Linked DNA regions of Lonchura striata. The protein of the gene in region 4 purifies or fractionates together with the protein of the main gene of each other region. This does not show direct contact. Links are inferred from orthologs where the notes say so. Each region holds a gene or a part of one and is shown on either strand. Other genes may lie near its edges.

What was found.
Region 1: the proteins of EXOC8 (region 4) and EXOC5 purify together in Homo sapiens (affinity purification with mass spectrometry; 5 studies listed by BioGRID and IntAct, counting the BioPlex papers as one, with this or other methods). This does not show direct contact. The link is inferred for Lonchura striata from reciprocal best matches to the Homo sapiens genes EXOC8 and EXOC5.
Region 2: the proteins of EXOC8 (region 4) and EXOC2 purify together in Homo sapiens (affinity purification with mass spectrometry; 7 studies listed by BioGRID and IntAct, counting the BioPlex papers as one, with this or other methods). This does not show direct contact. The link is inferred for Lonchura striata from reciprocal best matches to the Homo sapiens genes EXOC8 and EXOC2.
Region 3: the proteins of EXOC8 (region 4) and EXOC7 purify together in Homo sapiens (affinity purification with mass spectrometry; 4 studies listed by BioGRID and IntAct, counting the BioPlex papers as one, with this or other methods). This does not show direct contact. The link is inferred for Lonchura striata from reciprocal best matches to the Homo sapiens genes EXOC8 and EXOC7.

The regions. Positions count from the first base shown.
Region 1 is NC_134608.1:4,354,835-4,362,072, forward strand, and holds the start of EXOC5 (exocyst complex component 5), read right to left. Parts: upstream 3,109-7,238; 5' UTR 2,985-3,108; coding exon 2,958-2,984; intron 1-2,957. UniProt on the Homo sapiens protein: Component of the exocyst complex involved in the docking of exocytic vesicles with fusion sites on the plasma membrane.
Region 2 is NC_134603.1:95,192,720-95,200,656, reverse strand, and holds the start of EXOC2 (exocyst complex component 2), read left to right. Parts: upstream 1-4,812; 5' UTR 4,813-4,894; intron 4,895-7,937. UniProt on the Homo sapiens protein: Component of the exocyst complex involved in the docking of exocytic vesicles with fusion sites on the plasma membrane.
Region 3 is NC_134621.1:4,238,940-4,246,518, forward strand, and holds the start of EXOC7 (exocyst complex component 7), read left to right. Parts: upstream 1-4,389; 5' UTR 4,390-4,487; coding exon 4,488-4,547; intron 4,548-5,324; coding exon 5,325-5,390; intron 5,391-6,413; coding exon 6,414-6,598; intron 6,599-7,247; coding exon 7,248-7,353; intron 7,354-7,579. UniProt on the Homo sapiens protein: Component of the exocyst complex involved in the docking of exocytic vesicles with fusion sites on the plasma membrane.
Region 4 is NC_134605.1:43,611,391-43,618,956, reverse strand, and holds the start of EXOC8 (exocyst complex component 8), read left to right. Parts: upstream 1-4,311; 5' UTR 4,312-4,336; coding exon 4,337-5,854; intron 5,855-6,515; coding exon 6,516-7,124; 3' UTR 7,125-7,566. Other genes in the region: DNA-dependent metalloprotease SPRTN, read right to left, coding at 1-358, 652-919, 1,664-1,792, 2,586-2,685, 3,805-4,064. UniProt on the Homo sapiens protein: Component of the exocyst complex involved in the docking of exocytic vesicles with fusion sites on the plasma membrane.

The DNA.
Region 1 (7,238 bases), on a different chromosome or scaffold from region 4:
CAATTTCCCTACAAGTCACTCATCTCTTTAACCAAGTCCTTCCTGATACACAACGTGAAATTTCCTTTACAAGAATCCTCTTCATCAAAAGCCACAATGCCACGTTTCATGCCAAGTGTAAATTCCCTCCTTATGCCATCTTGAGATCTAAAAGTTTGGAACACTTTTGTAATTTAATTACAGGTGAAATGAGTCATTCAGTGCAGTAACATTCCATTCAGGGGAGGCTTCCAGCTTCCCAATTACCTCAGGGCTCTTTGCAGGACTTCTCCTTTATATGAAAATCCCCAATTTTTCCTCTGAAGATCCTGTAATTTAGCTGAGGTACCACTCTGGTTACAAGGATGCTAAAGCCAAGTATGGAAGAACCCTGAATAAAGGGTTTACTAACACTCTGTGTGTGCAGATAACATTTTCTACATTTCTCCCTTTCCCAGATGTTCATACTAAAAGATAATTCACCAACACACATATAATGGCTTTAAATATTTTTTCATTTTTGTAAAACAACACTCATAAAGTTTTTCTGCAAGCCTCTTCCCCTAAGGAAATCTGATGTAGATGCCTCAGAACCCAAAACAATATTATAATGCCAATCTTTCTCCACCCCATCATGCCTCTATATACCTCTAAATATTCCTTGAGTTCATGTGTACACAAACCTGTACCTCCTTTCCTGGAAAATACCTGATTTTTCAAGAATACTTACACAGGAGACCTGTCCTTCAGTTTTTAAATCATATAAATAGTGTTTTATATTATTTAAGAAATATTAACTGCAGTGGCTATTATGTGCAGGATCAACAGAGAAATAAAATGAGCTTCCCTTTTCAATTTTCTACAGAGGGTGTGCTAGAAATAATCTACTCGATTTATATAGAATAAATGAAGTTCAACAGTATCTTTCTAAGACATGATTTTCCAGGTTCCACTGCAGATCCAAAACTTCTTACTTTAGTTTGTATCTTCCATACACGTTTGCTTTTTTAAATGCTATCTTGATAACAGGGTTCCTCATAGCTGACAGCCTAACTCCTATTTTAAGTCCCCTATCCTGGTCTGCAGAAATTGCTGAAAATCAGCTATTACAAATGTCATTTGCAAGTCCTTTGCCTGTTATCAGATGAGCCCCAACAGTCAATTTCTCCAGCTTTGAACTTCCCTCTGGCTCCAGAGGAATTAATGTGATCCCATCCATTCAGCCAATACTCCTGATTTAATAAGAGATATGCCTGAAGTGGGTCATAACCTGGTTTGATCTGGTGTTTACAAATGAAGCTACACTGGACACAGCCAGTTTAAAAACCAGTTTAGAAGCATCCACTGTTAAATTATGCTTTAAGTTATGTGAGGGAGAATTCAGTCCATGTTATGCCCATTTTCAACACAGATCCTGCTGCACAAGTTCCCATATCTGTACTGAAATATACTTAAAACACACACTCATGAAAATATGGTAATCAAATTCCATCCTCAGCAGACAGCTAAGGGCTACTCCCATAACAAGCAGATTTTTATGTTTTTATATAAGGCAAAAATTTCAAACTAACCAAGTAGGCAACATTAAATTAGCGGACATCAACAAAAACTCTCTTGCCTTTGGAGTGAAAGTGAACTGAAAGTGGGAGAGACAGAAATACTGGATTCCATGTTGGAAAGGCATAATTTCTAGCCCCAATCTCCAGGCAAAAGTCTCACCTAATTTGCAATTTTATCTTTATTGCTATTGCAAAATGGAAAAAGCTGTTGCACGACCCAAATCAGCCAAAACACAGTTTTCTTTCCATATTCAAATCACCTCACACTCAACACCCCACAAAGAATAGAATGGCACTGTCATCATGTTGAGAAATCAAGGGGCTCCTAGAGTGGTGTAGGGAGGGTACAAAACCTGGCATCCAGCCACAGGAACACAGTATTTTAGTCCTGCTATTTTTTAAAGCTATGCAAACCAAAAGATGTGAGTCATAACACTCGTGTGCCATCACAATGATTCACAAACTCAAATGCACACAGTGCATTTACATGAACCCCAGAGATGGGTTCTTCCAGAGAAAATGGAAGACCCTTTCCTGAAGGCTGGGCAATGTGAGTCCCAATAATAACCCACCAGAAAAACAAACAGTTCTTGAGTGACTTGGAGAGCAAATACAGGACACCTGGGGATGACACCATGACACAGGGGTGAAGAGGAAGTGGGGACACCACACTTTCTGTTTAACACAGGCCACATCACAAGAGTTCATGGTCCAGGCCAGAAGCTGAAGCCACAGAATCACAGAAGGGTTTGGGTTGGAAGAGACCTCAAAGATCATCTTGTTCCAACCCCCTGCCATGGGCAGGGACACCTTCCACTATCCAAACCCCATCCAACCTGGCCCTGAGCACTGCCAGGGACAGGGCAGCCACAGCTTCTCTGTGCCAGGGCCTCAACACCCTCACAGTCGAGAGTGGTAGTATTCTAATATCCAGCCTTTCAGCTTGAAGCCATTCCCCCTGTCCTGTCACTACACATTTCTGTAAGAATTCCCCCTCCATCCCTTTGGCAGGCTCCCTTCAGGAGGGAGACGATCCTCGTGCATCCCTTCCAACTTAGGGCATTCCGCAATCCCACGGGAAGAATCTGACAGACTCCTGCTATTCCCGTCCTGCTCCTGCGTGGCCTTGGCCGAGCTATTCCCCTTCCTCGCCTCGAGTAAAGGGAGGGCAAACTCTTTATTCCTTTATTCCGCTCCATCCCCGCCGTTCCCACCGCGCCGGGGCCGGGCAAGGCAGCGCGGGGCCGGGCCCGGCGTGGCCGTGCGGCAGCGAGGCGCTGCAGCGGGGCCGGGAGGGCACCGCGCCCCGCGGGGCGGCACCGCGGCTCCCCAGCCCCGCGCACCGCCCGCCCTGCCCCGCCGACAGCCCGCCGCGTCCCCTCGGCGAGCCGGCCCCCCGCCCGCGGGGCCCGCACCCACCTCGAAGAGCTCGGCCGTGGTGGCCATGGCCGCAGGGAGGGAGGGAGGGAAAGGGAAAGAGAGGGAAGGAGGGCGGCGGCCCCTCAGCGCCCCGTGGCCGCCGCCGCCCCGCCGCTGCCGCCCATTGTGTCCCCCCGCCCCGGCAGCAGCAGCGGCGGCCGCGGCGCCGCCTCCGCCCGCCGGAAATGGCGCCGCGCCGGGCGGCCACGGCGCGGCCGCGGCTCCTCCCCGGCCGCCATCGGCACCGCCGGCATCGCTGCCACCATCGCCGCCACCATCGCTGCCACCATCGCCGCCACCGGCACCGCCACCGGCATGGCCCTGCGGGCGCTGTGGCTCCTCAGGCGCGGCCGGCGGCGCCGTGCTCTTCTCCAGGTAGCGACGGTACCGCGGGCACGGCGAGCTGGGCAGTCCGAGGGTCGGGCTGGGGAGTCCCGGTGATCTGGAAGGGATCCAGGTGCTCTGAGGGATCCGAGTGCCCTGGAGGGAAGGGTGTTCTTGAGGGGAGCGGATGCTCTGGGGGGTCCGGGTGCTCTGGAGGGAGGCGGGCGCTCTGGGGAGAGCAGATGCCCTCAGGGGGCGCGGATGTTCCTGAGGGGGGTCTGGGAGTCTGGAAGCTCTGAAGAAAATCCTGATATCCTGGGGGGATCGGGTGTTCTGGGGGTCTGGAAGCCCTGAAGAAAATCCTGATATCTTGGGGGGATCGGGTGTTCTGGGGATCTGGAAGCTCTGAAGAAAATCCTGATATCCTGGGGGGATCGGGTGTTCTGGGGGTCTGGAAGCCCTGAAGAAAATCCTGATATCCTGGGGGGATCGGGTGCTCTGGGGGTCTGGAAGCCCTGAAGAAAATCCTGATGTCCCGGGGGGATCGGGTGCTCTGGGGGTCTGGATGTTCTGAAGGAAATCCCGGTGCCCTGCGGGTTTAGGGTGCTCTGGATGCCCTGAAGGAAATCCTGGTGTCCTGCGGGGATCAGATGCTCTGGGGGTCTGGATGTCTTGAAGGAAATCTTGGTGCCCGGGGGGATTGGGTGCTCTGGGGGTCTGGATGCCCTGAAGGAAATCCTGGTGTCCTGGGGGGATCGGGTGCTCTGGATGTCTGCAGAAAATCCTGGTTCCCTGGAGGGATTGAGTGTTCTGGGGGTCTGGAGGAAATCCTGGTGCCCTGGGGGGATTGGGTGCTCTGGGGGTCTGGATGCCCTGAAGGAAATCCTGGTGTCCTGCGGGGATCAGATGCTCTGGGGGTCTGGATGCCCTGAAGGAAATCCTGGTGTCCTGGGGGGATCGGGTGCTCTGGGGCTCTGCAGAAAATTCTGGTGTCCTGGGGGGATTGGGTGCTCTGGGGGTCTGGGTGTCCTGGGGGGACACTGCTGCCCTGTGGGTCTAGGATGCTGCCCCCAAAACGGATGCAAAAACCACCAAAACCATCTGATACTGAATAAATTCCTCGTCTCGTGCCAGCGCCGCTGGATGCTGTGCATTTCTGACTCCAATTTTAGAAAGTTCAGAATCAGAGTCACATAATGTGCTTTTAACTAAATATGGGAGCTTTTTCACAGCTTCTGCATTTTGCATGAGTTTCCTTGCTCCGTTCCTCTTTCTTTTTTGTCACTGTAAACATTTTGCCCAGCTCTTCTCCTTCCTAACATGGTAAAGGACAAGGCAGTGATTGTGAAATACTGTCAGATTAACAAAAATGGGCAAAACAGATATATAAGCATATATTATTGCTTGTATTTTCCTTATATTTTTTTCATGTTGCTCTGTAGCTGTAGGTAAAATAGAGTACTTTCAGACAGAAATTCAGCTTTCTGTTTGATGCTAATTTGTGCATATAAACACTTTTTTAAAAAGTTATTGGGGGATTTTTAAGTTATTGAATACTAAAGAGTTCTCCAAAGGAACAGTTTTTATACAGAATTCTTGCAGATATAAAGGAAGACTTTTGGCTTAGCGGGTTACTGTTATTGGGCTGGCAAGATTTGTTACCCTTTTTGTTACTCTTCTTCTGTGACTTCAGAGAAAGCCAGATAATGAGAAGAAAAATAACTGGGGCTAGGGAAAGTTTGTGGGGAAAAAAAAAAAAAAGTCCTGGATAAAGTGACCTACAGTCCTAGTCTGAATTTAGTAAAAGCAAAGAGAGAACTTAGGAGTAAAAATAAAAAAAACAACTATCTTCCATCTTCAGGTGCAGACAGATCTCTCCATTGGACACTCCTCTGATTGTTTTAGGATTAGTATTATGGTCCTTGTATTACCTACAGGACTAGAGATGAGGCCTCCCCTCTACAAACACAGATAAAGAGAAAGCCTTGTCCCCAAAACCTCGGAGAGTGTAATCACCACGGAGCAGGGGGGGCTGCTGACAGGGGTGTCTGAAGTGACTTGTCACACAGTGAGCGGCAGAGACAAGGAGTAGCACTCCTTTGAAAAGGGCAAACTATCCTCGATGCTTCAAGTGATTTCCAGACTTAGATCTTTCAAGTTCCCAGAGGAAATAATAGGGCTGTGGAAGCCCCAAGTTTATCCTCCTAACTGACCTTAAATTCAACAAAGCACGCAGACAATATAAAGAATGCCCGGATCACATGGAAACTGTTGGTTTCAGGACTTAGGCACTCAGCTGGAGATACGTGAGCCCTGATCTTTGACCTCAGGGAAGACATCGGGGACATCAAAGCATTCCCCCTCTTTTTTTTTTTTTTTTTAGCTGATCATAACTTAATTCAGGCAACAAGGATGGTCTCCCTCTTGAGTCACCGAAGTTCATTCATCCTTGGAAACTTTTGTCTTTTTTATTTTTTTAAGTTTGCATCACTTTCTAGAAGGGAATACTGAAAAACGGGGATTTGAAGGGCTAACTAATGATCTAATGACTTCAGTGGGAGGAGGAGGCTGCTGTGGTGTGGGGACAGCTTCAGCAAATGCAGCAGAGAGACTGGGACTTGACTAAGACAAAACCAGACTGAAATATCTCCTCTTCCCTTGTTTTGGAAACGTTGGCCAAAAAGAAGAGCTGCTCACCAAGGTTGCACATAACCTCTTATCAACACCCTGGCTCTGCAAAGCCTCATAAATTTTATAGCTGTAAACCCACTTGGTTTCTTTGCTCTTCACAATAAAATGTGGGACCACAGGGAGGTGTTTTGCTGTCATCTGTATCCTGTTTACGAATTTTGTCGCTGTGGCTTTGCCCTGTCTATGTTTAGACAAAAATAAAAAAAACAACCCCAAAAGCCCTTGATGCCTGATTAGGAATGAAAGAAAAAAAAATCACAGTCACGGTAAATAAGCCTGAGGAAGTGTAGTTGCCTCCAGCTACTCAGTTAAGAGAAAATGATGTAGAGCACTTAGAGGCAAGAGGATAAGATCCATGGAAGTGCTCAGGAGCAGGAGGGAAGTGCTGCAGATGGAGGTCATAGATAAAACAAAGTCCCACGTTGCTGGGATTGCAAGTTCCATGGCAGTTTGGAAAGCAGGCTGTCAATGTGTCCTAAAAAAGACGGTATAAAAGGGACAGCAAATGAGAGCCTTTATATATCTGTGCAGTTTTTTTCTTCCATGTTGGCATGCAAGCCTGGGTCTGAGTGCAAACAAACATCTGAGAACATCTGCTTCAAGATGATCCATAAAGTGATTTAATTTTGTGTGTGTGACCTGTGAGGGGCACTTTGAGGGTCTGTGGATAACTACTGAGGGAATCCACAAAACAGAATGTAGGAAAGCCAGGCTGTCAGCAAACTTCATGTAAGAGACACTCAGGGGAGTCTGCAGTTCCAAACCAGGGCACAACCAGTGCAGTCATGGAAGTAATATTTTTTTATTTTCTCAGCTATTTATTAAAAGTCAACTCCTTAGTTCCTCCTTAGGCTACCTTGAAAAGAAATTCATCCCACTCCCCTTTAAACAACAATACTGCAGGACATAAAAATCCCAGATATAGTTTTAAACAGTTAATATGATATTCCTCAAATATTATCTCTAGAAAATTTGAAATTAAATATATGTATTGGTACAACATAGCAATTCTAAGTTGTACAAAACCTCTGTCCATGACATTATTGTTACATCTTAAATACTTGATAAAATGAAATTATGAAAAAGTCATAAAAGCTTTAAGTCACATATATTGTATGTGCAGTGTGGAGTTATTATTGTTATAGCAGCAAAGCTGTAGCACTATCTACATATAGTAGACTCTATATCTAGGCAAAAAGCTGTTGTAGTTGCATTTTGTTACATAGAACATAAATTTTCTTAAATATCTGAGAACTTGTCTTCAGT
Region 2 (7,937 bases), on a different chromosome or scaffold from region 4:
TCTCTGGGAACTTCTAGAAACCAACCTCCACAGGGATGTTACATTGATGGTTCAAGGAAATAAAAGGAAGTGGGACCAATAAGGCAAAGAAAGGTTGTGCAGTGATTATAGATTTGTTAGGGCAGTTGAGGACGTGCTGGGCTTTTTGGCTCTGCTCCTGATTCTGCTGCCATGGCTTTGGCAGGTTACTGATTTCTAGTTCAGAAGACACGATATGGTCATGGAAGCAGCCCTCTTAATTTCAAACAGGCTTTAGGTTATGTACACACAGGAAAATAGAAGATGGTGAGTTATAAATCAGATAGGTTCCTTTTTTGGCAATTGTGAAGCAAACCATCTGTATGCATTACAAGATGGACAAATAATGATGACCATGGATTTGTCAAGAACAAATCCTATTAAACCAATAAGACCTCCTTTTAAAATAAGGTAATAGGTGTTACACAAAGGAGAGAAGTATTAAAAATTCATATATCTTCATTTTAGTAAGGCTGTAGACAATGTTTCTTGTGAATAAGCAAAGACAATATGGTCCAAATTGAAAGCTCCATGGTGTAAGAAAAGGCAAGACTATTTCTGAGGAAGAGTTAGCAAAATGGGGTCATTATCAAAAGGAGAGATGTATTGAAAGAGGTTTCTCAAGGTATCTGATACTCTTTATAAACATCCAAAGAATGGAGTAGAGACTAAGCTTGATACATTTGAAGAGGACATGAAAAAGAGAGCAAATAAAAGAGTGTTAGAGAACAGAATTAGAATTCAAAGGGAATTTGACAAAGTGGTTATGAGGAGATTTTTTTTAAGAAAAATACAAAAGATGGTATTCAATAGGTGCAATAGACATAGCATCATCAGTTCCCCAGATACAGGATGGGGAAAAGTAAACAGGATTATAGTTGCCTGGAAAAAATGTAGAGTGAATCACAGGCTAAGCACGAGTCATCACTGTTATGCTGTTGTAAAAAGGAAAATGGGATTGAAACAGGGAAACAGCCTGCAAAATAGGCAAAGCAATTATTTTGCTCTGCTACCCCATGGTACAGCTTAAATTTTAGTGGTTTGGGGTAGGTTTTTTTTTTAAGTTTTTCATCTGAATCATGCTTGGCTTGGGGAATTGTGCTTCCAGAATGACACTGGGTGTCTGCAGAGGAGTGCAGGGGAGTTCAAGCTTGATTACCAGTCCAGACAACATTAAATATCAGGCTATTAATGGGACAGTTTGTAATAATGAGGCAAAGAAGATACAGGGTCTTTAAATATGGAAAAGACAGCTACAGGGAGGAAGCAAAGAGTCTGTTCTCCAGGCCAGGAAAGACAGACTTTTCACTAATGGACTTAAATTCCGGTAGGGGACCTATTTAGAACATACATTAGGAAAAAAGACCTCTAGTGATAAGGGTAGAGAAACACTGGGAAAAATTGCCTGAGGAGATGGCAAAAGCACCATACTGAGAAGCCTTTAAGAACAAGATTTAAAAAGCAGTTATGTTGCAACAAAAGATCATGTCTTGGGGCATGGAAAATAACAGGAAAGGGGGATTTCTTAAGGTCATTTTCAACCTTATGCTTCTTAGGATTTTCCTGTTCCTCAGATTTCCCTGGTTATAATATTCACCTCACAAATTTAAACAAGAGTAGGAGAAGGTCTGGTTTGGATGTTCACATGTCAAAAAAATTTAGGCAACAGCTGTAAGCTTGAAGGCATTCAGAAAACAGTTCTGGAAAGGCACTTATACAGTGCAGAATCAAAGTTAATCCATACAGTTTGTTAAGAGAAGGTGAAGGAGTAAATCTGCTGCATTTCACAAACATCTTCAAAAGGAAGATATTTCTGTTAACAAGAAGCAGGCTTGCAATGGACAGATGCTGCAGCTAGATGAATTTACCTTTTCAAACAACATTTATATTTCAATCAAGTTTTTTTTACACATTAAGGTAGTGTGGTACATGTTAGCATAACCACTGAGAAATCTTCAAAAGTGCAATGATGGATTGGCCATTTCTCAAAAATAAATAAATAACAAATTTTATTCTTTGAAATAAAATGAAGATGCCTTTTTTAAAAAAACAGCTACAGAAAGACCTTGCTGTGGGAATGGCTGGAGGAAATTCTACAGCTTTCAATATTCAGGTTAGACAAGATGATCATAATAATCTCTTTGGCTTTCAAATCTGTTTACCTAACTTTGTAGAGAGATATAATGTTTACAGATCACTGTCAAATCTGCAGAAATGGATTAGAAAAAGGCATGAATGAGCAATTACTCTTGTGACCTCTATGAGGTATAACACTTACTATTTACCAGGTCATTACATTACAAATTGTCACTTCTTTCCTCAGTTTTAACTGCATAGATTAATCTCTTTAACAGCATCTGGAGTTCCATAGAGTAATATATTTATATTAGCAGCATTATATATGACAGCAAATATATACTATATATTATGGTATATACATCATAAGTTATATATATATGACAGATATATATTTTTTTTAACCACACTAATTTTCTTCCTTTTGTTCCAAAGAGATATGCGGGGTAGTGTTTCTTTTCTCCAGAGGGTCACATCTGCAGTCAGTCACTGTCAGCTTTGTTCTGGTGTCACTGAAGGGGTAGGTGATGGTCACTAAACATCAGCTGGGGAAACCACCCACAGCAGATTCAACAAAGTGCACCACACAGGAAGTTCTGCATTGACAGTATTATCCAGGGCCCTATAGATCATATGATTCCTGCATGCTGCTTGTGGAAATAGGAGGATTTGCCTGTGTGGATGCCAGTGAAGAAGGTACACAAGTCATTTATAAGGCTTCTGTTCTTGCAGGAGTTGTGCTGTTCTGACAAATTCCCAAGGACCATGATCTGCATAAAAATACTGCTGAGAAGCCTTTTAGAAATAGCAGCTTAAAATCTCTAAAGGCTGGGTGATATTTTCACAAGCAAAAGATCTGTCAGCTTGTCCTCACTTGGGGGCTTAACACTGGAGAGGTTGACACTTTTCAAGTTCATGTTCCCTCTTAATGATTCACCTATTTAGGGTCTTTTCACTTACAACAGAGGTGAATATTCGATCAAATCTGTAACCGAACTATAGTTTGGCACTGAAATTTATCACTTGAACTAAATCTAAACTCATGGTTGTTTATTACAAAACCTTCTGGGTACATAGTTCCCTTTATGGACTCCCACAAAAGTCAATGGGCTTTTTGGGCACAGGTGTCCCCTCTCAGAGGGCACTGGGCTGGGGCCCAGGTATGCAGTGTGCTGGGTGGGGCCTTCTGAATCCACCAAACCTCTCAAAGAGTGGTTTTCTTTGGCACATCTGATGACAGGCATTCAATGAGAAAATTCAAACAAGCTGTCATGGAGAAAAAATATAATTTTGAACTGGGTGGCAAACGGTTGCACTTTTTTTTAATATTTTATTTCTCTCTTTTCTTGGAGAACCAAGGAGCTCTTTTTATGTATTGGATCTCAGCAGAAAACCGCAGTAACTAGTTATAACTGCGGAAACTTATAGAAAAGACAGGTACCATCTGCTTTTGTTTTTCCCCAGAAAGATATTGCATAATGTTTTACAGAGAAGAGGAAAGAGTCAGAAATGTATTGCTTATTCATAATATGACATATTCCAGTCTGCTAATTTAACCTGAGCACCTTTAACCTATGAAAGCAAAGTTAGGAAGTGTGTGGGGTGTGGCCACACATTTTTTTTTATGGTGCTTTTTATGGTGCTTTAAGGTTTTATGCAAGGTAATTTGCCTTCCCATTAGTATCCTGCTTTGGCCTGGTTTGGCATAACTAGGAATGGAGTCTTCCTTGCTGGTGTGGGTTTTTTTTTTTTTTTTTTTTCTTTCATTGCTTTTCCTCTCCTTCCCAGTAACCTTTTTGTCTGAATGTGGCTTTTGCAACCAAATACTGAAGAATACCAACAAAGAGTGAAAAAGGAAATCTCCTGAGTCTTTCCATAAGGAAATGAACTTGTGTTCAGAATTCCCATAGGCAGCCTGTGGTTTTGGAAAGAAACATTTTTACTGGTTTATCATGAAAGGAGGACAGATTTATGTCACCTGGGGCTGACAGCACTGCTTGAGTATTTGTGCCTGGGCTTTTGCCCCCCACCCATCCTTCTGCACCTCCCCTCACAGAATCACAGAATGGTTGGGGTTGGAAGGGACCTCTGGAGACCGTCCAGTCCAAGCCCCCTGCAAGGCAGGGTCACCTGGAGCAGGTGACACGGGAACATGTCCAGGTGGGTTTGGAATGTCTCCAGGGAGGGAGACTCCACGACCTCCCTGGGCAGCCTCCCTCACACCTCAGGCTGGGAGTCCCAACACTACTGCTGGGCGAGTCTCTGCCTATAGGCGCAGTGCTTGGGGGTGGTTTTATTATAATTTATTACTTTTGTTCACAGAATCACAGAATCTGCTGAGCTGGAAGGGACCCATAAGGATCACCGAGTCCAACTCCTGGCCCTGCACAGCGCCGTCCCCAGAGTCGCCCCACGCGCCTGAGAGCATTGTCCAAACGCTTCTTGAGCTCTCTCAGGGTCCTGTCGCTGTTGTCACTGCCATAGTCAAGACTGTTATAATTAAATATGTTTTTTCTTCCCTTGCTCCTCATCCACGGGAGAACCGACCCCCATTTTCTCCGGGGGCCCTCAGGAGCCCCGCGCAGGGCCGGGACTGAGGGGGGGAGGCGGGCAGGGGGCGGGGCCTGCCGGGGGCGCGGCTCCCGCCGGGGCGCGGCTCGGGCCCGGCGGCCTCCCCCGCCCGCCTCGGTGGCTCGGCGCTCCCTCGATGCGCTCGGGCGGCGGCTGGCGGCGCCTGCGGGCGCGGGGCGCTGCCGGGAGCGGGGCGGCCGCAGGTGCCGGATGCGAGCGGCGGCGGGCGGTGAGTGACCGGCCCCGGCCCCGGCCCTGCCCCGGCCCCCGGCGGGCGCTGCGGGGCAGCTCCGGCCCCTTCCCTTTCCTTCCCCCCCCCCGCCTCCCCGGGGCGGAGGCTGCCCCCCTCCCTTCGGTCTCCCCCCGCCTTCCGCTCCCCGGGCGGGGTCGAGCGTCGCGTCCCCGCCCCGGCCCCGTGGGGACGGAGCTGTCGGCGACGGCTCTGGCGGCTCAGGGGGCGTCGCTGGGCTCCGGCCGGCTCCCCCCCGGTGCCTTCCCGGCTGCAGCAGCTCTTGCTCCTCCCCAGCCCCCTGCCGGGGCGCTGTCGGCAGGGCGGGGGGTTCCTGCCACCGGCGGCACTCGGTGTCCTGCCGGGTGACGCTCCCGGGCGAGGCCGGGCCCGGGCCGGGGAGCCCTTCCCAGCGCTGGTGGCACTGTCCCGGCCCCAGGGCCGGCAGCAGCGGCTCCGTGGCCTTTGCCTGTGTCTCGTGTGTCTGACAGCGGCCCGGGGGAGCGCCGGGCTGCACGGGCTGAGCCAGAGCTGCGCCAAGTCCCAGAGTCCATTCGGTTGGAAAAGACTTCCGACATCGTCCCGTCCGACCCGTGTGAAATGATGGGGTCGTTTGGCTCAGTGAAGTGTGGGTGTGCTGGGTGGGGGAGAGAGGAAATGAGCAGGGTAGAGAGGTGAGTCAAAGCTGGTTACTTGCAGGACTTGTTGAAAAGCTGGTTATTTTCAGGACTGATTTTATGTTTTGTTTTAGTTTTTTTCTTTTTTGGCTTCGCATTTAGTTATGCCATCAAGTTTCAGATATAGCTGCCCAAAATGAATGAGTACCTAGGCAAATGCAATACGAAAAAACAGGGTAAGGAGTGTGGGAGGAATCGAAATAACATGCTGGTTGAGAGATGGTTGCTTTCATTCTTCTGTCTGGAGAGATTACGCTTCTCTGAGACTTGGATTTTTTTTTTTTTTCAACTTCCTACACAGTGCTACATTTCTGCCTCATTTGGACTACCTTGCAGTCCAGAAGCGTCCATGAGCTGGGTGACCAAACATCTTTCCTCCTTGCCTCTTCTATTATCCTAATTAGGAACCTGAAAATGATCTCTTAGCAAGGTGCAGATGTCTGAAATTTGGGATGATCTTGTTCCCAGAGGAGAGTTTACCATTCTGCACAGTTCTACTGTTTTTTTAAATAGTCTTCCTTCTGCAATTTCTTCACTTATTGCAGGTTAACAGCTTCTAACCATAGACTCAAAAGCTCTGAGTCAAAAGCCAGTAAAATATTAAGCCATCCTAGCTCTGACAGAACATCAGATTAAACCTAAACTACAAATATTCATTGTTTAAAATGTAGTTAGAATCATAATCACGCTTCAGTTTTCCAGATTTTCTGATCATTCTTATAACAAGTAAACAGTCTTCTTTCTCCTTTAGTGATCTCTTTGCGTTTCACTGTTATAAACATTTTCTTTGTTTTTGCTTTTGATGTTTTTGTTTTGCTTATGGTGAAGTTGTCAGAACAGTTAAAGGACTGTAAATAAACAAACTTGTGGCTTAGAAAAACAGGTCTGATTTCTTCCTTTACATTTTGCTCACCTGAAGCAGGAATGCACTATAAATCTTATTTCCCTATTTTTATCGTATCTTATCCCAGCTTGCACTGACCTAGCAACAAGCAGCAAGAGGCATATCTTGTTGCTGATTTCTTTCCTATGGATAGCTTAGTGCTTGTGGTTTATGCCCACTCTTTGGACAACTGTTTTTATTTAGATGAAATGTCTGTTGTCTGCAAGGTCCTTTAAAACAGATGCGGTTATTTTCATTATACTGGTTGGACTTATCTGAGTGAAAATTATTTTAAGTTGTAATGGTAAGGGTGGTTTTCTCTATGGAAAACATATTTTAGGATGTGTCAGAGGTGAAGCAATTTAATTAAAAGATTGTTATCCATCAGACTTATGCTGGCTTTAAAAAAAAAATATAAAGTTGTCTTGTATTTTTCTGGTCTTCATTCAATAAATGAAAATGTTTTTACGGACTTGATGGTTTGTGGTTGTTTTTAATGCTCTAATTGCTTTTCATATTTTAGAGCTAAGCAGGTCTAGGTTAATGAAATTCCAAATGAATAATAAAAAAAAAAAGTAAAGTTCTAAGTCATGAACAGTAAAAGAAATCTAAAATGGTAGGATTTCTTGTGAGAGTGAGCATGGGTTTTATGCCAGCTGTTGAGAGCATTTGAGGCAAAACTGGACAGTAAAGATATGAAAATCTGTAATTTGCCAGTTGTTTTCCTGAGGTCCTATTAGAAAGAAACTGTATCCACTAATACAGTCCATTCTTTATTATGCTGCTTTTCCCAGAGAAGCTGGACTAAAGCAAAATAAGTAGGTTGACTAGAAAGGCAGAGGCCACTGACCTCATTTATTAATCAAAACTTTCAGATATGTTATGTTGAACCATACTTAATCAATTTCTTTCAATGCAGTGGTATATTTAGCTGTAAATTCAGTAAGTCTTAATCACTGTACTTGAAATTAAACTTAATCAGTTTTGAGTTATTTTAATTCTGTTTATTCTGCAATTTTCGGCTTTCCAACTGCACTTAAAAAAAAAAAAAAGCAAGAATGTAAAGATAAAAGTATTTCTCTTGAGAGGATGGTGACAGAAGAATGAATATAAAATGTGTTCTTAAAACATAGATTCTGACAACTATGGAAAATATCCATGAAATAATATATAGTTAGAGTTTTGTACACCAGGACAAAAGCTGTGGAGCACATGCAGACACTACCTGCATGTATTTTGAATGCCTGTAGGTCACTATTTATTTATACAAACAGGCAAATGAAACCTTCTGCAGGAGAAGTCAGAAGGACTTCATTTTATAGTCAGGGACTGGAAAATAGTACTCAGAGGACTGTAGATGTTACAGTGAATTTATTTTCTGTGTGAGTTTTTCAGACAGAGTGGAACCTACTGCTATACTTGAAGCCAGCTGAAGGTTCAAAATCTGAAAACAGCTGAATTAGTATCTTTTAGCAGAAGTCAG
Region 3 (7,579 bases), on a different chromosome or scaffold from region 4:
GTCAGGCACTGCAGTGGTTTTGGTTTGCTAATTTGAGATTTTGTTAGTTTTGAGATTTTTTTTGGCTAATGTAGTGTTGAGTGTGGTGGGTTTAGCGCTGGTTAATCCCTAATGTACTAATTTTCTATTGTGAGGTGGGATTAGGAGAAAAGTAAAGTAGGTTTAAAACTTTAAATGGGTATAAAAAAATGATAGAAACTTATAATATTAAAAAATAAAATATAAAAAATATAATAATATAACAGTATAACATCATAATATAATATAATATAATATAATATAATATAATATAATATAATATAATATAATATAATTAACATAATTTAATAAAATAATATATATAATAAAATATAATAATATATAATATAATAATATGTAATAATATATAATAATAAAACTGAAAGAAAGCATAATAAGAATTAGAACAAAACCTTTAGAGTATTTCTCTTCTCTCAATAACTTTTTTTTTACTGATAATGTAAAGGAATAAAACTTAAAATTTTAGTCAGCTTATTACTTCTAAAATAGTCTTTTTGTAGCTCACTTAGGGAATAAAACTTTACATTTTAGTCAGCTTATTACTTCTAAAACAGTCTTTTTTAAGCTCACTTAGGGAGAGAAACCTTCTTGTTACTGTTATGGAGACTTCTTTAAAAGAAAAAAAAATAGCTTTTTGTGGCTCTCAGTTTCTTTATGACTGGTAGTTCTTTGGAGAAATCTGTAACTGTGAAGTGTTTCTTGTTTTACTACAGGCTTTTCTCACAGCTGGCTGAATTTCCCACCTTTTGTGCCGGTGCTGACAGTGGAAATCCCTTGTCCGGCGGGGGAAGCGGCGGCATTCATTCCCGTGTCCAGCGGCAGGCAGGGCTGGAGCCCGCGGGACGGCGGCGGGAGCGGCGGCGGGAGCGGAGCGGGGACGGGGCGGGAACGGGGCGGGAACGGGGCGGGAAGGGAGCGGGAACGGAGCGGGAACGGAGCGGGAACGGAGCGGGATTGGAGCGGGAACGGAGCGGGATTGGAACGGGAACGGAGCGGGATTGGAACGGGATTGGAACTGGAACGGAGCGGGATTGGAACGGGATTGGAACGGGAACGGAGCGGGATTGGAATGGGAACGGAGCGGGATTGGAGCGGGATTGGAACGGGAACGGAGCGGGATTGGAGCGGGATTGGAACTGGAACGGAGCGGGATTGGAGCGGGAACGGAGCGGGATTGGAGCGGGAACGGAGCGGGATTGGAACGGGAACGGAGCGGGAACGGAGCGGGATTGGAACGGGAACGGAGCGGGATCGGAGCGGGAACGGAGCGGGATTGGAAAGGGAACGGAGCGGGATTGGAACGGGAACGGAGCGGGATTGGAGCGGGAACGGAGCGGGAACGGAGCGGGATTGGTGCGGGATTGGAGCGGGACCGGAGCGGGATTGGAGCGGGATTGGAGGGGGATTGTCCCGGGACCGGAGCGGGATTGGAGCGGGATTGGAGCGGGATTGTCCCGGGAACGGAGCGGGATTGGAGCAGGATTGGAGCGGGATTGGAGCGGGATTGTCCCGGGAACGGAGCGGGATTGGAGCGGGATTGTCCCGGGACCGGAGCGGGATTGGAGCAGGATTGGAGCGGGATTGGAGCGGGATTGGAGCGGGATTGGAGCGGGATTGTCCCGGGAACGGAGCGGGATTGGAGCGGGATTGGAGCGGGATTGGAGCGGGATTGTCCCGGGAACGGAGCGGGATTGGAGCAGGATTGGAGCGGGATTGGAGCGGGATTGTCCCGGGAATGGAGCGGGATTGGAGCAGGATTGGAGCGGGAACGGAGCGGGATTGTCCCGGAGCTGCCGCTCCGCCGGTTGCAGCCCTGCTGGTCCTGCGGGCACTGGCAGCACGGGCGTGTGGTTTGCCCTGTGGTAGAACACGCTCTGATGCCTTGTGAAGAACAGACTAGAATAAATCGGGATTTATTAAGTGGCCTCAATAGATCCACCTCGGGCAGCACAACCCAAAATGGTCACAAATGCACTCTCTCACTTTGATAAATTCTGCTCCATTTGCAGATTGGAGTTTAACTCATGAAGTTCCATCCTTTTGTTTTCTCTCTTCATTCCATCTCTTGGGCCTGAGATTTGGATGATTTGTCCTTGGTCCCCAGCTGGGGAAAGATTTGTTTTGTCTCCCTACTCTGTACAGAAAGCTCACCATCCCCTCATATGAAACCTGCACTTACAAACTAAAGCAGAATAGAACCTTGAAAACCAGAAAAGCTAAAACCTGAGGCATCAGCTCAAACTGCAGCATTTGTACCCTTTCTTTTTCCTTTTACCCAAAATAACCCCTTGGACTCTTTCTGTTTGACCAGCATTATTTTTTTTTCCTGCTGCTTCCTTTTAGATGTGCTGCTGCACCTCACGTTTGCACAGAGTCCAGCAGTTTTTACACAATGCTGTGCATTTATTTCTGTATGTTTATTCACTCCTTAACATCCCACACAGCTGGCACTTGGGGTGGGTGTATCTCTCCGACTTTGCTCTAAGGGACTGTTGCTCCATGAGGGGTGAGGGGTCCTTTTGGGTGGGTTTTCAGGAAAGAAACAGCATTATTGGACAAAACACACACAACTGCTCCCCAGGGGAGGTTCCTTCTGGCTCGGGCTGCCCTTTGAATGAAGGGGTGAATGCTGGCAGAAAGAGCATGGAATTCTGTAAAGAAAGATATGGATCTGCTCTTCTGGGAGAAAGATCTTTCCCAATCACACCAGCCCAGTGTGGGGAAGCACAAAAGGTGCTGGGTGCTGAGCTTGGACAGGGATCTCCTCTCTTATACCCCCAAATCCCCTTTACCAGGTATCCCCACAAAACACAGGCAGGTGTTTGTGGCCACACAGGGGAAAAAACAGAGCCAGAGCTTGGGCACATGCGTGGGCAGCAGGACAGGGTGGGTTGTGAAATCCATTGTTGTATAAAAAAAATCTTCTCTCTGGAGCTCGGGGTGGCCTGACAAGGGGAAGATGGATGGGCACACACCAGTCCCTGCGTGTGGCAGGAGCCTTGGAGCGGGGCAGGGCAGCGGGAGCTGGGGCTGCAGGACCTGCAGGTGCTGGAGAAACACTCCCTGCTCTGGGCTTGGGTAGTTTAGGGACATGCAGAGCCCCCAGGGTGTGACACCCCGGCCATCCCCCCTGTGCTCTCCCGTGGGATAACCTTTCTCCCTAAGGGTGCAGGAGTTCACACTCACATTTTTATAATTTCACCTTCCTGAGCTCAAACCCCTGGCCTCCTCCACATCTGTTGTGCACAAATTCATATTTGTTACCCCCAGTGCAATAAACCAATTATGACACACTCAAGAGAGACGCTGATTATTTATTTCAGAGCTGAAGAAACCTGGGTGCTTGTTGGGACTCCACAAATCAAGCCATTACCACGGTCAAAACTTTTTACTATTTATGCATTTTAGCAAAGGAATTTGTGTTAATTGGCCGCAAGTTACATAGTTCTCCTATTAATGATTGTTATTATTCTATCTTCTGTTGGGAAATTATTCTCTTGTTTGCCACGCTAATTAGTCCATGTGCTCAGTCCTTCTCTTCTTTTGGGTTGGTGGGTTCCTTGGATCTGCCCCTGCTGAAATTACAGTTAGTCAGAGCTGATTTATCCTAATTGCTGAGTTGTTTTATAAGTTCCTTCCTTATCTTGGGGGTTCTGTCAAATGTCCTCATGGCCTGTAAATTCTGCCTTTTTTGTACCCACTATCAGCACATCCTTGTCCCAAGCTTTGTTAGCCTACCCCGAGATAATTTAAAAATGTCAAACCCTAAACCATAACAAGGCAATTCTACCAATATGCAGTTTGTTTTTCTAACACCTGCACATCACTTAGAACTTGTTGGCTGCTGTGTCTTTCCTGGATTAAATCTCCTTTATTGTCCATTAGGCTTGAAAGTACACAAAGATCAAACATCAAAGCACATCCTCTCTTAAGAAAATTTTACGCAACAGTGCCACGCTCAGGACGAGAGGACATAGCTTCAAGCTGTGCCAGGGGAACTTTAGGTTGGAGATGAGGAGGAATTTATTCACAAAAATTGTGATTAGACAATGGAACGGGCTGCTCAGGGAGGTGGTGGGGGCACTGTCCCTGGAGATGTTAAAGCCTGGACGTGACACTCGGTGCCATGTTCTGCTTGCCAAGGGGGTGTGGGGGCACGGGCTGGACCCGAGGATCTGGGAACCCAAATTAATTGATTTGGGTTCTGTGACCCATCGCGCCACTCCCAAGATGGCGGCGCAGCCCCTCCCGCCACCCCCGACATGGCCGCGGGCAGGGCAATGCGCATGCGCCGCCGCTCCCCGCGGGTCCTTCTCGCTCGGCGCCACTCTCAAGATGGCGGCGGCGCTCTTTGCGCATGCGCGGTGCGCGCCGCCGCGCCCGTCATGGCGGCGCGGCAGTGACGGGCCGGGCGCGGTGGGAGCGAGCGGCGGGGCGGCTGCGGCGCGATGATCCCGAGCGAGGAGGTGTCGGCCCGCAGGAGGGAGATCGAGGACAAGCTCAAGCAGGTGGGGGTGGGCTTGGGGCGCTCTGCGGGCGCTGCCGGGGCTTGGGGCCGGGCCCGCAGCCCCCTGGCGCTGCCGGGCAGGCGAGGCTGGGTCTGGCGGTCCTCACCGGGCCTGGGGGCGTCCCGGGACCCCTCAAGGCGCTCATCATCCCCCTGCTGGCTTGGGAGCACCCTCAGGTCCTCTTCAAGGCCTGGTTTGCAGGAATGGGGGTATCTCTGCTCCCCACTGTGGGCCTGGGTTTCCCCTCTGCGTTCTCGGCAGGGTCGGTGGGCTCTCCCCACAGTCAGGTTCTGTCCTGACAGGCTGCCATTCCCCTCTGCCTGTGGGCTTTGGGGTCCCTCCACCATCTGTGGGCTTTAATGACTTAAAACCAGCCCTTGGTGGCTGCTTTGCATCGGACACTTGAGTTCCCGGTGTGTTTGGAAGGTGCAGCACCTGTGTTGTGCTGTGGCAGGGAAATGTGTGCTGAGTCGTTGTGCCTCAATGGGAAAAGTGTTCATTTTATTTTGTGCTGTGTTTCCCTTTAATGCCCATAAAGGGAAACAGTGAATTCATAAACCTCCTGGCTCATTACATTATGTGTCCCCACCTTGGGTTACTTGCCCTGCTTTCTGTTAAGAGGTGGTAATATTAAAATGTGGCCACAGAATCAGCATCAGACCAAACATGGCTTGCAGCAGAGTTTACAAGGTTGGTAAAAACCTGTGTGTGCTGTTTAGTGACTTAAACCTTAGTGTTCAGAATTTTAGAGTAATTTCTTTTTCATCTTACTCGCAGGAAGAAGAAACTCTGTCCTTTATCAAAGAGAGCCTTGAGAAGAGTGACCAGCTCACCAAGAACATGGTAGGGATGTCCTTATGTTGGGCCTGGCTTTACTTTTTCTTAGGTTTTTAGGTTTATGAGTTTTCAAGGCTGTTGTGATGCCCATCTGAGGGATGTGGAGCAATGAACCACTTTGGACTTCAGTGACTGGGCAAAGGGGAAACCTGAGAAATGCTTCAATACTGAGCTTCTCTCCTGCTCTGCTGAGGGTTCAGATGAGCTGTTGGCCTCATCTCTGCTACAATCAGTCCTCTCTCTTGGGGAAAAAGTATTAAGAAACCTCAGATAAACAGCATCATGTTGTTGTTTCATAATTCAGGTTTTGTTTGGAGTTTTATTTTGCGAGTGTTCTGTGCAAAGATAAAAAGTAATTATTGTGTTGTAATTGCTTATAAGCCCTCAGTTTATATACTATGTCCAGTCTTGGTCTCAGTGCTTTAAAAAAGTCATAGAGGCACCACCAGAGAAGTGTGGAAAACATGACACAGGAGTGAGTCTTGTAGGAATTACCTTTGAGCCTAGAAAAGATGATTCTGAGGCACCCTTTTATGAGCTTGCTTTGGTTTTCCTCCTGTCAGCAGCACTGTCACGATCCTCTTTAAAAACCAAATGTCTGTGGTGCAAAAGAAGGTTCTCACTAGACTGGTACTTGTGCAGCTCCTGTTTGGGTCTCACTGTGGAGCAAAGGAGCTGCTGGTTTGTGATTTTGCTGCTCTTTTTACATGGGGCACCTCCAGGCAAGTTTCTGCGGCTTTATTTTCTGTTGGTGAATAAAATTTTGCTTGTCCTTTTTTCTGTCTTAGAACGTTATCTTCACTTTTTGGGATTGGCCCATCCCTATATGGCAGGTGATCTGTTTTGTGATTGTTAGTAAAAACTAGAACATAGAGGGGTGGAAACAGCTGCTAAGGAACCATGGCAAATTAGTAGCAGAGCCCAAAAAGAAAAGCTAGGCCTTGAAGATCCCTGACTTCCCTGCTCTAATTCCTACCCCACTCCATAGGAAGGAAGTCCTGAGCTGTTGGTTTCTCTCGTGGTGTGTAGGTTTCAATCCTCTCCTCCTTTGAGAGCCGTTTGATGAAGCTGGAGAACTCCATCATCCCTGTCCACAAACAGACAGAGAACCTGCAGCGCCTGCAGGAGAACGTGGAGAAGACCCTGTCCTGCTTGGATCACGTCATCAGTTACTACCATGTGGCCAAGGACACAGAGAAGATCATCAAGGAAGGGTGAGTTGAGCAGATAAATCCTGCTGGGAGCTTCATCCTGTTGGATTTTTGAGATAGAGGTGGGGGACCTGACTTCACACACCCTTGGTATGCTTGGTACCCTTCCCACATTCTTTCCTCAGTCCACACTGGCTTGACATTCAGCCATTTCCACAGGGCAAAGACAGCTCAGACTCTGTACTGGGATCTCTTCCAGATCTCTCAGAGGTGCTCCCATTGCAATCTCCATGAGCAGCGGTAGCTTTTCTGTTGTCTTCTGATCTTTTCCCAAAGCTTTTCCTTGCCCATTGAAGTTGTTACTACATCCAGGATGTACCAGAGCTGTTCTGGAGCCTCCTTGTCTGGGAGGGTGTTGGATGGTTCTTGTCTGAGATGGGATGTGCAGTTCCCTCTGCCTTCCATCAGGGCCTGTCTGGGAGAGGAAAGCAAGGCTGAGACTTGTGTGCTGCTCCATCACCAGTGCTGCTGCACTTGCTGTGTGGGTTGGGTATCCTGCTGTGGCACTGAGTGCAGGCAGAAGGGAATTCCTCCTAGCTGAGGAAAAGGGGATTGTTGTTTTTATCCCAAGTCTGGTCTGTTGCTTTCGTGTTATTTTGTTTGTTTGTTTGTTTCTTAGGGCACTACCTTTTATTTCTGGTTTTATTTTTAGCCCCACGGGGAGGTTGGAGGAATACTTGAATTGCATGGACAAAATCCAGAAGGCAGTGGAATACTTCCAGGACAACAACCCCGACAGCCCGGAGCTGAACCGTGTGGTGGGTCATGGACCTGGAACCTGTGGATGAGAGGGGGACAGACACAGCCCTGCTGTTTGTCCCCTGCTTGTCCCTTGTGGGTTTGCTGCCTGGGGAAGGTGGTGTTTGGGCACAGCTGAAGGAATGATTGCTTTGGCTTCTAGGCAGAATTTCTGCTCCTGGCATTTTGCTCTCTCTCTTATGCCAGGAAGACTCTGAAAGCAGCTGTTGCACCTGTGGAGGAGGA
Region 4 (7,566 bases):
TCGGCAGCACGAGCCATCCTAGCAGGCAATCCACAGTCGTTCTCATCATCTTCTGGGTGAGCAGCAGAGAGTTTTGGAAACTCACTCTTTAAAGCTAAGCTGCTCTTCTCACCAGCACCTTTGGTATGAAGCAGAAAGATACTGCCATGGGGTAATTTTTCCAGTTTTATCTTGTTTTTAGGGATTGGTGATGTCCTTACTGCTGAATGATGCAATGAGCCATGTGCTTCACTGTTTGCAGTGGAGCTGATGGCATTTGTGTTTTTCTCTGAAAGTACACCGTCTCCTCCTCCAAGCCGATGTCCCGTTCCACTAAAAGGAGTCAAGTCTTTGCAATTACCATGCATTTGTGTCTTGCCTGCAAAATCAGATTAAAAAATAAATTAATATTTTCATTAAAAAGTCATGGGCTTATTATTTGAAGTGCTTCACACAAAAAAATCTGCTGCTTGAAAATAATGCGTCAAACTAAACATTTTGTAGACAATACAGTTGAGGAGCAGCCTAGAAGTGCAAAAACAAAAGGCCCTGTTCTTTGGCTACATAACAGTAACATCAAAACCAAGCTTATGTAGTGTTTGGTCCATATTTGTTCAAGAAAACTTCTGGACAAAAATCAGTTCAGAAAAGAAAAAAAAAATCATAAAATACCTTCATTAGTTGACTTGAAATGTGGAGGTTTTGCTGCCTGAGTTTTCTGCTTGGACTTCTCCGAGAATTTCTCTGGCTCTTTCACTTTTGTGAACGTGCCCCCACACGTCCTTTGATGTTCATCCCACCAGAAGTCATGTGCAGAGGGTGCTCTGTTCATTGAGCGCTTCACATATCCAAAGTAAGGCGCTCTGTTTTGGCAGGGGCCATTGCACCGCCACCAGTGCTGGCGGTACACATTAATCTCATCATAAAAATCGTGATAGATCTACATTTAGAAAAACAAACAAACAAACAAAATCCACAAAAGAACAGTCACTCAGGAAGTTACAAATTTTATATCACTAGCTCTAAAATGTTTTTTAAAAAAATCTGTTTCCATTCAATTCCTTCCACTACTGCTGTGATTTTTATATTAGCAGTTAAGAGCTAGATCTGAGTAAAAATTTATCAACAATGCTTTAAAAAAAAGATAGGAAGCGTAGGAATATGTCCTGGTTATCTTGTTGGAACTGCAAAAAGATAATTTTGGAAATCTATCTACAATTTCACATAGAAGATGTACTGTTTAGAAAGCATTTCAAACAATACCAGTATTGTATTCTCCTTTCAGTTATTACCTTAATTGATCTTATTAGATGCATTATTTTTAAATATTGACAGAAATATTGACCCTCTATTGACATAAATCTTGACTGCTCTTCACATGGAGCACTTCTGTCCCTGCTACCATTTAAGCTCTTTCTAATTTACCACAAAAGCTTAAAGAAAAATTCTTACAGAGAACATACCTGAAAATTACATGACTAACAGCTCACCACATCTTCCTCAACCTCTTTCCACCACCATCCCCAACAAATAACTATGGAACTAGCATACACTTGGATGCAAATTTGTATTGGTACCAACTGTGGAGTGTCTAATAAGAACATTACTTAATATGCACCAGTCAACCAAAACAGCAAATCAGGAAGAAAGCTCTATTAAAGAAGGTGAAGAGGATTATTCTTACTGTGACATTGGCTCCAGTCAGGAGATTAATACGACGCATGTGCTTGCAGAACTCAGGTCCATGGGACTCACGATCTTTGTAGTTATGAGTAACAAAGAGCAGGGCGTGGATCATTTCGTGCAACAGCGTCTGAAATGATGCAACCATTAGATATTCAATGAAAAGCATTGCATTTTCAGTTTCATTATTAAGCTGCAAGTATTGTACTCTTCTACATTGATTGTGGTTACTGATCTTATCTTTGATTATTCACATACTCAGTCTGGGTCATAAAAACATAATACTTTGATCTATCAAACCAAATTACCCCTATTCCCACATCACTAAAACACACTGCATAATATCACTTCCATAAGCAGCATTCCAAAAAGGAGATATAATCCTCAAATTTAAATTGGATCTTTAAAGACATCATCCCCTACACAGCCCCCAAAAAGAGCCATTTTGAGCAAGCTGAAATTCTACAGCATTTCTGTTGTTAGGCAAATCTGAATGTTCAGCCAGCTCCAAGCAGCAACTCTGGCAGAGGCCCAAAAGCAATAAAATGTCATGTTAAGTCATAACCTATATCCTTATTTTCTGCTGTTGGCCCTTTCAAAACTATAGTCCATGTTTGGTTTGAATATTAAAGGATAATTTTGGAGTTAAAAGCCTGGGGTGTTATTTTCTCTATATAAAGTCAATAAAATAAACAAGTGACTTAAGACTTCTACTGGGAGTTGCCCACTTAGAAACATAAAACTAAAGATTACCATGGTACTGCAACACAAGCCACATGAATGTAACAGTAAAGCCAGTGCTATTTTATGACCTATAAGTTACTGCATAACAGAATCCCACTATGAAATCTAAAATGTTTGTATGAAGTGGCGGGTGTGCACAAAACACTTCACGTGCAGATTCATAAGCCATGTTCGAATACCTCCACAAGATCCTTCCTCGGCCGTAACTTTAGAAGCGGCTCACTGAGACGAATGGAACACAACCCACTACTTTTGTGATATGAACAGATACCAGCAGAGCTGAAAGGAAAGAAGAAAGAAAATACAAAAATGTATTTGTTTCTTTCTTCATTGTAGCACATGAAGAAAACAGAGAATTTAAGTCAGAATGCCATCCCCTGTAAACACATGCTAGGTCACTCAGAACATGGAATAAAATCACTTTGAGTAGTTACCTGAAAAATTCAGCATCATTAAGCAAAGAAAGAAAATATCCACAAGTTCCTTATAGTAGAAAAACCTGGTTTTTAAGGTAGAAGAATGTTTCCTTTAGAACTTGTGATGAACTAAAATACACTGCACAGAGGCTGGAGATTCACGGCAGCAAATGCAGACTTAATTGGCAGTTGTTTCAATTTTACTCCCCACCCTTCATCAACTTTTGGCTCATACTGAACCTACATATACCTCCACTTCTGTGCACTAATCCAGCAAACACGACTTTTTTTTGTTTGTGTTAGTCCTACTGAGTTAGCCCTCAATCGGTGCAACATCCAACTGTTTCCAAATGTCTAAAGAATACCGCAGCCAGCAGAGGATACGAGGTGGTGGGACTTCCAGCTGCTAGCAACTGCATCTGCTGCAGAACTGCAGCCTGCACTTTAAAGATTTCTAGGTTTGTTTAACCTCAGATTTCTTCTATGTTCCCCTTCCTAGCCCATTCTAAATTTTTCTAATATACTATTATTGGTTCATATTTGTCCTTCTGCTGTGCAGTAAAACTATCATAAAAACTGAGAACCAGAGCAGCAACACGAGCATGTGAGGCTTCCATACACATCATCTAAGACCAAGTAATTTCTTCCATTTAACATCCCTCCAGCTTGCCTGCATCCCGTGGAAAGCCATTGGTGGCTGCCACGGACGACAGATGCAAGGCAAGGGAGACAATGACGGCGACCAACTCACGTCCCGCCGTCCGGGCTCTGCCGGCGCTGCGGAACATCCGAGTGCCCGGGAAGAGAAGCCACGGCACCAGCAGGGCGCTAGCGGGGCACGGCGAGGAGCAGCACAGACAAGCGACAGCTCCTGCCGACACCGCGCACGCCGGCGGCGGCGGCACGGCGGCAGCTCCCGGACACACGGACCGGCCCGGGACAGCCCAGCCCCGGCAGCTCGGCCCACATCCCCCTGCCGCACCTGGTCATGCGGGGGCTCCAGGACACCGTGACAGCCTCCAGCTTGCCCCAGAAGAGCGTCTGGTTGAAGTGCACGAACAGGCCGTGCACGTCCGGGCTGGGGTCCAGCAGCTCCCACGCCTCGTCCACCACCGACAGCGGGCGGAGGGATGAGCCGTACGGAGAGACATCAGGGCGCTTTGCTGCCGCCGCCGCTGCCTCGTCCTGCTCTTCCCAGTCCCTCTGCAGCCTGAGGGCCAACAGGAAATCCTCGTCCTCCATCCCGAGCGCGGCTCCGTCGGCCGGCACAGAGCGCAACCGGAACGCGCAGCGGCCGCGACGCACGCGCAGCACCGCCCCGCGGGCGCCGCCGCCGCGTCCTTCCGAGTGCGCGGGCCGGCACATCCCTGCGCCGCTTCCCTTCCCTTCCTTCCCTTCTCCTCGCTTGCTCCGCTCCGCCTCCGCCGGCGCGGCCCCATCCCGTCACCGCAGGCAGTCGCTCCGGCCGCGGGGCGCAGGCGCGGCGGGTGTCGCCGGGCGGGTACCGGGCGGACATGGCGCTGTCGCTGGGCGAGGGCGGCGGCGGGAGCCGGCTGCGGCGGCAGCTGGAGTCGGGCGGCTTCGCGGCGGGGGAGTACGTGAAGCAGCTGTCGCAGCAGTCGGACGGGGACCGGGACCTGCAGGAGCACCGGCAGCGCATCCAGGCGCTGAGCGAGGAGACGGCGCAGAGCCTGAAGCGCAATGTCTACCAAAACTACCGGCAGTTCATCGAGACGGCGCGGGAGATCAGCTACCTGGAGAGCGAGATGTACCAGCTCAGCCACATCCTCACCGAGCAGAAGGGCATCATGGAGGCCGTCACCCAGGCCCTGCTCCTCCAAGCCGACCGCGACGACCCCGCGCTGGGCGCCCGCCGCGCCGCCGCCGCCGACCCCTTCCTGCCGCTGTCGGCCAAGGAGGCGGCGGCCAGCGAGGAGGGGCGGCAGCGCACTCTCACCACCCTCCTGGAGAAGGTGGAGGGCTGCCGCGACCTCCTGCCCGAGAGCCCTGGCAAGTACCTGGTGTACAACGGCGACCTGGTGGAGTACGACGCGGACCACATGGCGCAGATCCAGCGGGTGCACGCCTTCCTGATGAACGACTGCCTGCTCGTGGCCACCGCCCTGCCCAGCCGCCGCGGCGCCTACCGCTACGACGCCCTGTACCCCCTCGACGGGCTGGCCGTGGTCAACGTCAAGGACAACCCGCCTATGAAGGACATGTTCAAACTGCTCATGTTCCCCGAGAGCCGCATCTTCCAGGCTGAGAACGCCAAGATCAAGAAGGAGTGGCTGGAGGTGCTGGAGGAGACCAAGCGCAGCCGCGCCCTCAGCGAGAAGCGGCGCCTGGAGCAGGAGGCTCTGCCCCGGCCCGCGCCCGCGCCCCCCGAGTCCACCAACCCCTTCGACGAGGACGAGGAGGAGGAGGATGAGCCCTCCGCCGAGGAGGAGGTTGTTGACCTCTCACTTGAGTGGATCCAAGAGCTGCCCGAGGACCTGGACGTCTGCATTGCCCAGCGGGACTTCGAGGGGGCGGTTGACCTGTTGGATAAGCTGAACGAGTACCTGGCGGACAAGCCTGCGAGCCAGCCCGTGAAGGAGCTGCGGGCCAAGGTGGATGAGCGCGTCCGGCAGCTGACGGACGTGCTGGTGTTCGAGCTGTCCCCGGACCGCTCGCTGCGCGGAGGGCCGCGGGCCACCCGCCGGGCCGTGTCCCAGCTCATTCGCCTGGGCCAGTCCACCAAGGCGTGCGAGCTGTTCCTGAAGAACCGGGCGGCCGCGGTGCAGACCGCCATCCGGCAGCTGCGCATCGAGGGCGCCACGCTGCTCTACATCCACAAGCTCTGCCACGTCTTCTTCACCAGCCTGCTGGAGACGGCCAGGGAGTTTGAGACGGACTTCGCCGGCAACAACGGCTGCTACTCGGCGTTTGTTGTCTGGGCCCGCTCGTCCATGAGGATGTTTGTAGACGCCTTCAGTAAGCAAGTGTTTGATAGCAAGGAGAGTTTGTCAACTGCGGCAGAGTGTGTCAAGGTAAGAGAGTCCAAAGAGTTGGGTGGTGGGGCACAGCAGCTGAAACAAAGGCTTCAAAGCTTTAAAGTCTCGTCTCTAACTCTGGTTTGGTTGTTGACTCTTGTGTGGGTCTCCAGAAAGATTTCCTGAGTTGAAAGATTAATATTCATTCGAGGTTTGTTTGGTTTTTTTTCAGTTTAACAGAGGAAATCCTTAAGGTTATAATACAGGCCAAGGAAAACCCTGCCTTTATCAGGAATGCAAAATGTGTTAATTCTTAATTTACCTGTAACTAGTAGGAGGTCCTAAAATTTACATGAACTACACCTGAATTATAAGTACTTCAAAACTTTCTCTTTGTTCTCCAAGGCTGTCTTTAGGTACATTTTCATACTTTTTTTGCAAGACTAACTTTCTCAGGTTATGCTTTCTTTTGGCTGCTGATTGGGAGGGGGGGAAAAAAAGTTTGTGCATGTGGGTTACATAGTGTAATTGTCCAGAGTTTTTTTGACAGCCAGGGTGTATCTTTCAGTTATTAATTTCTCATTAATGAGATTCTTAAAGCACGATAAACAAGTATGAGTAACCCATCTCAGTTTTCTGAGATGAATTTGATAAATGTGTAAGGTGAAAAGGGAGCCTGCACACTAATAACATCCTTTGCTTTTCTTTGTTATCCCAGGTGGCTAAAGAGCACTGCAAGCAGCTGAGCGAGATTGGACTGGATCTCACCTTCATTATTCACGCCCTTCTGGTAAAGGATATCAAAGGTGCTTTGCAGAGCTACAAGGATATCATCATCGAGGCCACCAAGCACCGCAACTCTGAGGAGATGTGGAGAAGGATGAACCTGATGACTCCAGAGGCACTGGGGAAGCTCAGGGAGGAGATGAGGAGCTGTGGGGTGGGCAATTTTGACCAATACACGGGGGATGACTGCTGGGTCAACCTCAGTTACACTGTAGTAGCTTTCACTAAGCAGACTATGGCCTTCTTGGAGGAAGCGTTAAAGCTTTACTTCCCAGAGCTGCATATGGTTCTCCTGGAGAGTCTGGTGGAAATCATCCTGGTGGCTGTCCAGCATGTCGATTACAGTTTACGGTGTGAACAGGACCCGGAGAAAAAAGCATTCATTAGGCAGAATGCCTCTTTCCTGTATGAAACTGTCCTTCCTGTTGTGGAAAAAAGGTTTGAGGAAGGAGTTGGAAAGCCAGCCAAGCAGCTACAGGATCTGAGAAATGCCTCAAGATTGATGCGTGTAAATCCGGAAAGTACCACCTCTGTGGTGTGAAGTGAACCTAACTGTTCCTCAGAACAAGGTGGCAGCACTTACTGAAGATTGTTGTACATTGAACAGATGAACTAAACAGGGGTTTTTTGAGTCCCTGAAAGATGCAGAACTCTTATCTGCTGCATTCCAGAAGCTGAAGACTTTGAATCAATGCCTGCAAGCATGCAATGCTTTACTTGTTGGATGGGGTGTAGGGAAGTGAGAAGGTGGAGGTCACATGTCCTTGACAGCATATCCTCTATGAAGGGCTTGTGTAGTATTTGTGACGTGGGAAATAACTGTAATACACAAATTTTGGCCAATTGTTTGTGAAAGTCTTACATACATATACAGCAGATGGCAGGAAAAGATCAATTCTCATCATGTCACTGTAGCAGTTCTTTTTTAAGGCAGTGTTCTGGTAGGAGGGTAAGTGCTGAAGCATTCCCAGGGTGTGGTATTC